2 linked regions of the Danio rerio genome follow. The protein of the gene in region 1 binds, or shares a complex with, the protein of each later gene. Links are inferred from orthologs where the notes say so. Each region holds a gene or a part of one and is shown on either strand. Other genes may lie near its edges. The genes, in order: sptlc1 and sptssa.

Region 1 (4,588 bases):
TGGATGAAGGTTCACTGCATGTTCGGTCTTTCCAGTGCACAATGTTGATTTATATTAAACTTAACTCATATCTGACTCCAATTTTAGTATGAGATGGTTTAGAATATTAATATGTTTATCCTCGTTTTATCTGACTCCAATTATAAAACATTGAGAAAGTTATTTTGTTTCCTTTCACATTATTTTAGATTATGATTGAATATTCTCTTCGGTTCATCATTTTATGTTATTCTCGTTCATTGGGATCTCTATAACATCCTGAATCTTGTACCGGCCGAGTATACAATTTCTTAAGCACAAGCATGTCAGTCTTGGTCACTAAACAGTGGCGATTGACCGCTATCCTAAAAAGGCAGAACACTACTTACTCAGATTAGGATATTTTTTATGCGGTCCCCATAGGTCTGCTACCTCCTAAATCAGACAGAGCTATTTAGTCATATAACGATCATTACTATAGAATTAAGCAGACCAGTCGTACTTAAACTAGTAGTAACTTTGAATAATCACTATACTATCTAAATAGTATTAAAAGTTTATCGGGTGAAGGACTATCCCCTTAGATATCCTTTTACAACCTAAGTATACATGAATAAATGCCAATTTGTTAGTCGGAGCTCTAGAGACATCGTGTAACGTGCCGCAATGCTCCGTCTACCGTGTTCTAGTCCGCTACTAACCTGAACAGGGGCTTGTGGTGCTATGAAATTACCACAATCTACTAAAGATAATAACACGAACTCTGTTTGAATCATTCAAAACATAACAATTTATTAGTCAGGTAAATGTATTATGCCAATTCAATCAGTCAATTCATAAACGATCAATACAAAACATCAAATTATCAAAGATAAATCCAAGATGAAAAGATGCATTCCTGACTTTGAAATATACATAACATGGAACAAGCCATGTTATGGGCTGATCTGGTTAGGCAGAATCGCCCTGAGTTTTTCTCAACCCTTACCTTAAATAATCCAAGAATTCCCTCAAGGAAGGGGGTGTGAAAAAAGGCATTCACACTTAGTGTAAAAGTCACACCCCTCACAGTGGTTCAAAAGATGCCTGTAGTTCTATATTTATTATTCTGATTATGTCTATTTCTGGGAGAATGAGACCATTGTACCAATCGCACTGAGACATTTCAAATGATATCAAACATGATAGTTAAAGTCAGTTTGGTTAGTCTAAAACATTGAAACATTGAAATGACCATATGTGTGACTTGGGGGGATGAAGCTGAGTCTCAGCATAGTCAGATGCAAATGCAGCAGGAACTGGTTTTTCACGCGTTCCCCCCTGGTGGGTTGTGGAGTCCATTGGCCCTGTCTTCAGCTCATGTTTTGAATTGTCAAAGATATCAGAATATTTGCAATATTTCAATTCTTACAATATCTAAAGTGGTTGTTACATTTCAAGACAACACAAAACAACAGCAACAACGGCAACACACACACACACACACACACACACACACACACACACAATACTGCATTTCCCCCATAACATTCTCCAGCAGCCTATATTAAATGTTCAGCTTACCAAACGGTATGCAACAGTACAAGAAATGTAACAAATGGTTTCTTTATAACCATAACGTAATGCTGGTTTGATGGTGACCAAGCAAATGACATCACATTCAAAAACAGAGGTGGAAAATCCGACTGACGAAGCCTGCAATGACGCTTCTCCTCCACGCGATGGCGCCTCTTTATCAATCAGGAAGTCGCGCAGAGCGATCATGTGACTCAGTCAAAATGGCGTCGGGGCAACAGTGGGTGTTGGTGGAGATGGTGCAAGCTTTTTACGAGGTAACTACAAACTTTCTTCTTTTGTCTTTTTGAGGTTTTTAAGATTTGTAAATATCGACAGACTGTTCTGCGTTTGCTGAGGTAAACAGGACTGGCGTAGGTGGTTGTATTCGGCTGTATTTCACATGTAATCTTCAGTAGTCTCATAGTGTAACTCCAGGAAGTGTTAAATATGACATGAGTATCAGTCAGACAGGTGAGTTGCACACCTAATTCTACCTTTACTAGTAGCTATAGTGCTGTACCAATGGTGGTGGATTTACACAAATATAGGTTCTGCTAAAAATTGAATTATGTCATTGTATAACAAGAACACTGTTTATTTTGTTTTTATCTGTTGCCAAATTGTGTAGTAAGTTGAGGTAAAGTAGGTTTGGTATTCGCAAATTCGTTCTTTTAATGGCCCATATATTGTTTATCGCGCTAAGTTGAATATTGAGTCTGAAATAGCACGCAAGGATGACTTCAAAACAATGTTACCACTATGTAATTGACTGTAAATAAGGTTGTACTTTGATAGTCATTAACTGCTGTTGTGATTTCCCTATTTAAAATTTGCAAAGAGTATTTTTCTGAAATTATATTATTAAGCAGAAAGTCTGAATGTGCAAAAATAACAGAAACAATTTCCGTATTTTGGTGAAAACTTCATTTTTTTCATGGCAACGTTGACATTTGCATGGAATGGCTTAACTTATTTCTTATAACTGATTTATTTTATCTTTGTCATGATGACAGTAAATAATATGTGACTAGATATTTTTCAAGACACTTCTAAACAGCTTAAAGGGAAATTTAAAGGCTTTACTAGGTTTACTAGGCAGGTTTGGGTAATTTGGTTTGTTCTGTAGACTATTGAAAAAATATACAGCTTAAAGGGGCTAATAATTTTAACCTTAAAATGGCTTTTTAAAAAATGTAAAAAACTGCTTTTATTCTAGCCGAAATAAAACAAGTAAGACTTCATGTAGAAGAACAAAAAATTATCAGACATGCTGTGAAAATTTCCTTGATGTTAAACATCACTTGAGAAATATTTTTAAAAAGAAAAGAAAATTTAAAGGGGTTTAATAATTCAGATTTCAACTGTATATTTAATCGATGTACAGCTATGAGGAGGAAACAAAATCAATAGATCACTTGAAAATTCTCAGTTTCTCAAGATGTACTGAATTTTCTTCTTGCGTATTTGGTGTAAAAGGTTAATGTATGTTTTATTCTATAAGGGCTTCTTCCAAATAAAATAATTTAATTCCAAGTTGTTGTTTTCTTTTGGCAATAGGCCAGAATAACAAACATGAGGCGTTGCTGTAAATGAAAACTAGGGTTTTCATTTCTTAATATTTGACATGTTTAATATGAATATATGACTTTTTTTTCCAATTTGACCAATATTCTCTTAATGACAACATTTTTATATTGAAATTGGGAAAAAGTAATGTCATGATGAGTAGTGTGACGGACAAAACTGAAATATGCTTTGCTCAAACATGAGACTATACAGTGGAATTGAGAACTGGAGATTCTGAGCCTATTTGAAGGAGGTTAAGCTATTTTGATCATGATTAGGTGATATTTTTGTTATCAGTAATAATGACAAATTGCACCTTTTTCCAACAGGGAAAACCACCAACAATTAAGACCATGTGATTATGTGCTGTCATGGCTTTGCAATCCAAAAATGTAGTTATAATTGAAGTCAATGGGGCAAAAACAGCCACACACAGTATGTTAGAAAGAAAAATAAATAAAAATCTGATTCTGCACACAAACAAACAATGCAGCAAAGCCAATGTTGTTACTAACCTTTACATGTCCAAGACTGTAATTTAAAAGTACAAATAATTATTCCTAAACATCCCAATTTCTGTTTATTGAATGATGATTATGATCTAAACTAACTAAAAGGTTATTTCATACTGCAGCCAAGAAGGTTATATTCAAAATATGGCATGAACCCGCATTCCCAGTGGATAAAATGTGTTCAAAAATTAGAACGTTCTACAGCAAGAATTAACAGAGCTAAACCCCATACAATCAAAGCATGGTCTGATTTTATTGAGAAAGTTTTTAATATAATAACTAGATAATTCTCACCCTAGAGTTTTTCTTTTCCTGTGTATTGTTATTTGTTTATAATTTTTTGCTTTTATTTTATTATTATATTTTTATTTTATTCTTTATGTATTTTCATTTAATGCAAACCCTGGTTTTTACAAAGTTGTCGCTAGCTATGTATGCTGGCTTTGTTCTGCAATAAATAAATAATCACAAAAAAAGGTACAATTAAATCCATTTCACAGTTACCTTTTTATATAAAAAATCAGCGACATTACAAACTTGGGAATTAAAGAGTCAAAATCCTTTATTAAAAGAACATTTAGTAGTTTTGAACAGGACTAAGGATGTTTAATATATCTCTGGAAAAAAATTAAGAAATACCTATATATCTGATACATTTTTACAGTTTAATTTAGCAGATGTTTTCATTCCGAACGTAACCAAAGCATTGTGAATTCACAAGGGTTAACAGGGTTTTCTTCTATCAAATCATCTAATGTATATTGTATGTATTTAATATGATATGTATATGGCTATAATATGAAATCCATCAATGATTTCTTTTACATTATTTAATTTGTCGCCATTTTATACAATTTCTTATGAATGCATCTAATAATCAAAGGAACTGATACTATTTGTGTGTTGTTGTTGTTGTTGTTTTTTCTAGGCCCCAGCATATCACTTAATTTTAGAAGGTTTTCTCATTTTATGGA
Region 2 (4,471 bases), on another chromosome or scaffold:
TTAAGGGTTTTTTTTATTGTATTTTTGTACCTGGAGAGGATATTGATGGGAATTAAACTGAAGTGACATGTAAATTATTTACTTGCTGCTGGAAATGCATATAATCTTCCTAATGAATGGCTGGTCTGTTAGGGAAAGTGGCAGATTGTGCTTTAAAACCCTCTAAATACACATATAATAAATTTATGTACACTGCCTAACAAAAGCTCAATAATGTTTATATCTGGTGACTAGGCTGGCCAATCCTGGAGTATCTTGACCTTCTTTGCTTTCAGGAACTTTGATGTGGAGGCTGAAGTATGAGAAGGAGCGCTGTTCTTGCTGAAGAATTTGCCCTCTCCTGTGGTTTGTAATGTAATGGGCAGCACAAACGTCTTGATTCCTTAGGCCACAGGTGTCAAACTCAGTTCCAAAAGGGCCGCAGCTCTGCACAGTTTAGTTCCAACCCTAATTAAACACACCTGATCAAACTAATTGAGTCCTTCAGGCTTGTTTGAAACCTACAGGTAAGTGTGTTGGAGCAGGGTTGGAACTAAATTGTGCAGGGCTTCGGCCCTCCAGGAATTGAGTTTGACCCCCCTGTTTTAGGCTGTTGATGTTACCATCCACTCTGCAGATCTCTCATACTGAATGTAACCCCATGATTTTTCCATCAAACTTGACTGGTTTCTGTGACATTATTGGGTCCATGAGGGTTTCAATAGATCTTCTGCAGTATTTGTGATGATTGGGATGCAGTTCAACAGATAATTAATCTAAAAATCTACCTTCTGCCACTTTTCCAAATGATAAACTTGAAGTCAAGTTATTATTTGTTGCTCTCACAACTGGTATTGAAGAAACATTTGATTTTCTGGTTATTTTAGACTCTGATATTTTTAGTTTTTAATGATAAATACTCTGTTTATGTACCCCAGTTTCACAAACAATGCCTAAACCTAATTCCAGGCTAAAATGTAATTCTTTGTCAACTGAAAGAAACTTTTAATGACTTAAAATATCAATTCAGTTTCTAATTTTGTCTCAAAACCGTTCTCTTTTCTCTCACAAACTTATAAAAATCCATTAATTAATCTATGACTTGATTCTGGCTTATTTTACTTATATTAGTCTTTAAAATCAGGTCATATTTACTTATATTAAGTATAATATACTTACAATAATTTTAAAGGCCTTATGAGGGTTAAGTAAACACTTGATCGTGAGCTCGAAGCGTTAACATCCCTAACAAATATAAAAACAGCTTATTACATTATTTGTTTTGTGATCTGGATTTCAGTCGGACTTTTATTTTGACACTCAGTGCCAACATTTTCCCCTTACCACGTGACTTTTATTATGTCACGCTCTAGTCCAATCCGGAAGGGAGCGGCGGTGGGACCAACACGAGCCGACAGAAAACATGGCGTTTGGAGATGCCTGGAAACAATTATCTTGGTTTTATTACCAGTATTTGCTCGTAACAGCTCTGTATATGCTGGAGCCTTGGGAGAGGACTATCTTCAGTATCCTTTTATCATAAAACATTGAGTTTTGTATGCGTAAGGAGCGTTATTTGGGCTGTCTTGTTATCTCCGGTGAAGGTATGAAGTTGTTTCCTCGCTCTTTAAGTGTTAGTTGTTTTTTCGTGGCGTACTACTAACTAATAAATTAATACAAAGACATGTTTTTGACATTATTAAAATAAAATACATAATGTATTTCCGACACGCGTGGTTTCTGGAAGTCTGGTGTGTTAACTTGTTTGCGTAACAGCTGATTATTTTAGTTCCTCTTTTAAGCTAAATTATTATCGTCATTGTTTTTTATTATCGGTTATAATTAATATACGATAATCAGGAAGTATTTAGCTGTGTGTATTTGCGAAATAAATGAATGAATGAATGAGTGGTGTGTCGCACTTGTGGGTGTGACGTGTGATATTTAAATCAGTGACACAACATGACCTGATTTCCAGGTGTCTTCTGAGAACATGTTGATCTTCAGTTTCACTGTAACCTGTTTTACTTGATGCCTTTTTTTTTGTCGTGAGAAATACATTTTTCTGTGGTCACCTGGGAAATGATGTCACCTGACACCTTTACAGCAGTGTTTTAGTGCTGGGTTTGTATATGGTTAACCCACAGACAGTAAAACAAAAAACAACCTGACAAGATATTTTCTGTTATATTTTTCCAGCGCTTGCAAAATTTCAAAATCTCTGGTAGCCGTTTGGACAGGCAGACTTTTGGTCTGTTTTGGTAGCCCAAATTAAATTCAAGTGGGACAAATAGAGAATATATTTTCTTCTAAATAAAAAGAAATGCATACATTTGCTAAAAAAAACAAACAAAAAAACATTATATGTATTAATTAAAATAATTAATCCATTAATTATTGGATTAATTTTTGGTTGCCAGACTGGAAAACATAATAGCCCCAAGACAGCAGCAGTTTTGCTTGGCCTGTTTTTTTTAACAGTTATTTCAATATAGTTTTATAAATGTACCTTATTGTTTATTTGGAATTGAAAAATCATGATTATGACTTATTGCACAGTGTTTGTACTAAAAATAGCTAATTTATAACTACAGTAAATGCAGAAGATAACAAAATTATTAACCTTATATATATAAGCAATTCCAGCGTTATGGATGTGACATTTGCAGTAAAAACTCAAAACATAATTTCACACAGAAAGTATATGTTGACATTGTATCGAAACTTCTTTTTATATTTTCCAAAATAGCTCACCACAGAGTTATGGTAGCAGAAAAATATCAATATGTAAACATGTTTTATATTTTAAATTAGGAAAATAAACATGCGTTATGGATGTGACAAAAAAAGTTTGCGAATTTTTTTACAATGGACAACAGATTATTTAGAAATTCTGACAGTTAAACTGCACAACCCAAAAGAAACAATGCTCATCAAACAGGTATGAATCGGCTCACTATAAAATTATAATGATTGATTTTATTTTATTTGACATTTTTGCATTTATGAAGAAAAAGTGTCGTTATGGATGTGACACATTTCCGTTATGGATGTGACAGCTGTGAAATAGCCACTTGTGTGATTTTGGCAAATTAAATATAATAGTTTGAAATACTGACAGATACATTTACGAGTATTTTTACAGTACTGTAAAATACTTGCTAACACAAAAAATGTAGAAACGGTTTGTCTATTTTGGTGAAAACTAAATTATCTTTTATGGCAAGGTTGACATTTGCATGGAATTGCCCATATATATATATATATATATATATATATATATATATATATATATATATATATATATATATATATATATAGCAGGAGAAGCTTATTTTAAAACATTTAAAAATCAGATCGACCCCAAACCTTGACTAGTTGTGTGTGTGTGTGTGTGTGTGTGTGTGTGTGTGTGTGTGTGTGTGTGTGTGTGTGTGTGTGTGTGTGTGTGTGTGTGTGTGTGTGTGTGTTAGGCATGGGATGATGGGACTGGTTTCAAGGTAAACCGCGGTTCATAAAAGTCAAGATAACAACTTTTCCCCCCATTAAACACAAGATATTTCATTTTAGAAAACATTTATAATATTTTAGAACTACATATGTCAGGCTTAATAATTAAAAGAAAACATTGAATTCTGCTGTCTTCATTGGTTTCAAAAACACATTTATGTACGATGCATAAAAAACATTAAAAAAAGAACTTGTTTAAATCTTAGGAACGATGTAACAGAAAATTATAGCACTAAAGCTGCATTTATTTAATCAAAAATACAGTATAAAGTGTGAAGTGTTATTGCATTATAAAATAACTTTTCAAAAATAGTTTATCATTTAATTATTTATTCCAGTGATTTTAAAGTATCACAGTATTGTGATTGCTGCTGTAAAATAAGTTCTTTTTAAATGTCTGAGTAAAAAACAACAACTTTTCCCCCTATTAAACACTATTTATTTTATTTTAAGAAATATTTATAATATTTTGCAACAGTAGACATGGCAGATGGGCGACGTAGGTGGCGCAGTAGGTAGTGCGGTCACCTCACAGCAAGAAAGTCGCGTTTCTGTGTGGAGTTTGCATGTTCTCCTGCATTTGTGTGGGTTTCCTCAGTGTGCTTCGGTTTCCCCCACAGTCCAAAGACATGCTGCAGGTGAATTGGGTAGGCTAAATTGTCCGTAGTGTATCAGTGTGAATGAGTGTGTATGGATGTTTCCAAGAGATGGTTTGCAGCTGGAAGGGCATCCGCTGCGTAAAACATTTGCTGGATAAATTGGCAGTTCATTCTGCTGTGGTGACCCCGGATTAATAAAGGGACTAAGACGAAAAGTAAATAAATGAATGACATGTCAGACTAAATAATCCAAATAAAGGATGAACCTCTGCTGTCTTCATTAGTTTCAAAAAGCACAGATTTCTTTACAACTTGTAAAAGGCGTCTTTGGAGATCTTTTTTTTTTTTTTTTTTGGAAATACAGAAGCATTGTTCAGGTCTAT

The links.
Region 2: sptlc1 (region 1) and sptssa share a complex: the UniProt entries of both Homo sapiens proteins name them as parts of the serine palmitoyltransferase (SPT) complex. The link is inferred for Danio rerio from reciprocal best matches to the Homo sapiens genes SPTLC1 and SPTSSA.

The regions. Positions count from the first base shown.
Region 1 is NC_133185.1:5,705,560-5,710,147, forward strand, and holds the start of sptlc1 (serine palmitoyltransferase 1), read left to right. Parts: upstream 1-1,738; 5' UTR 1,739-1,757; coding exon 1,758-1,811; intron 1,812-4,542; coding exon 4,543-4,588. UniProt on the Homo sapiens protein: Component of the serine palmitoyltransferase multisubunit enzyme (SPT) that catalyzes the initial and rate-limiting step in sphingolipid biosynthesis by condensing L-serine and activated acyl-CoA (most commonly palmitoyl-CoA) to form long-chain bases.
Region 2 is NC_133192.1:11,130,074-11,134,544, reverse strand, and holds the start of sptssa (serine palmitoyltransferase small subunit A), read left to right. Parts: upstream 1-1,363; 5' UTR 1,364-1,402; coding exon 1,403-1,505; intron 1,506-4,400; exon of another isoform or gene 4,401-4,471. UniProt on the Homo sapiens protein: Component of the serine palmitoyltransferase multisubunit enzyme (SPT) that catalyzes the initial and rate-limiting step in sphingolipid biosynthesis by condensing L-serine and activated acyl-CoA (most commonly palmitoyl-CoA) to form long-chain bases.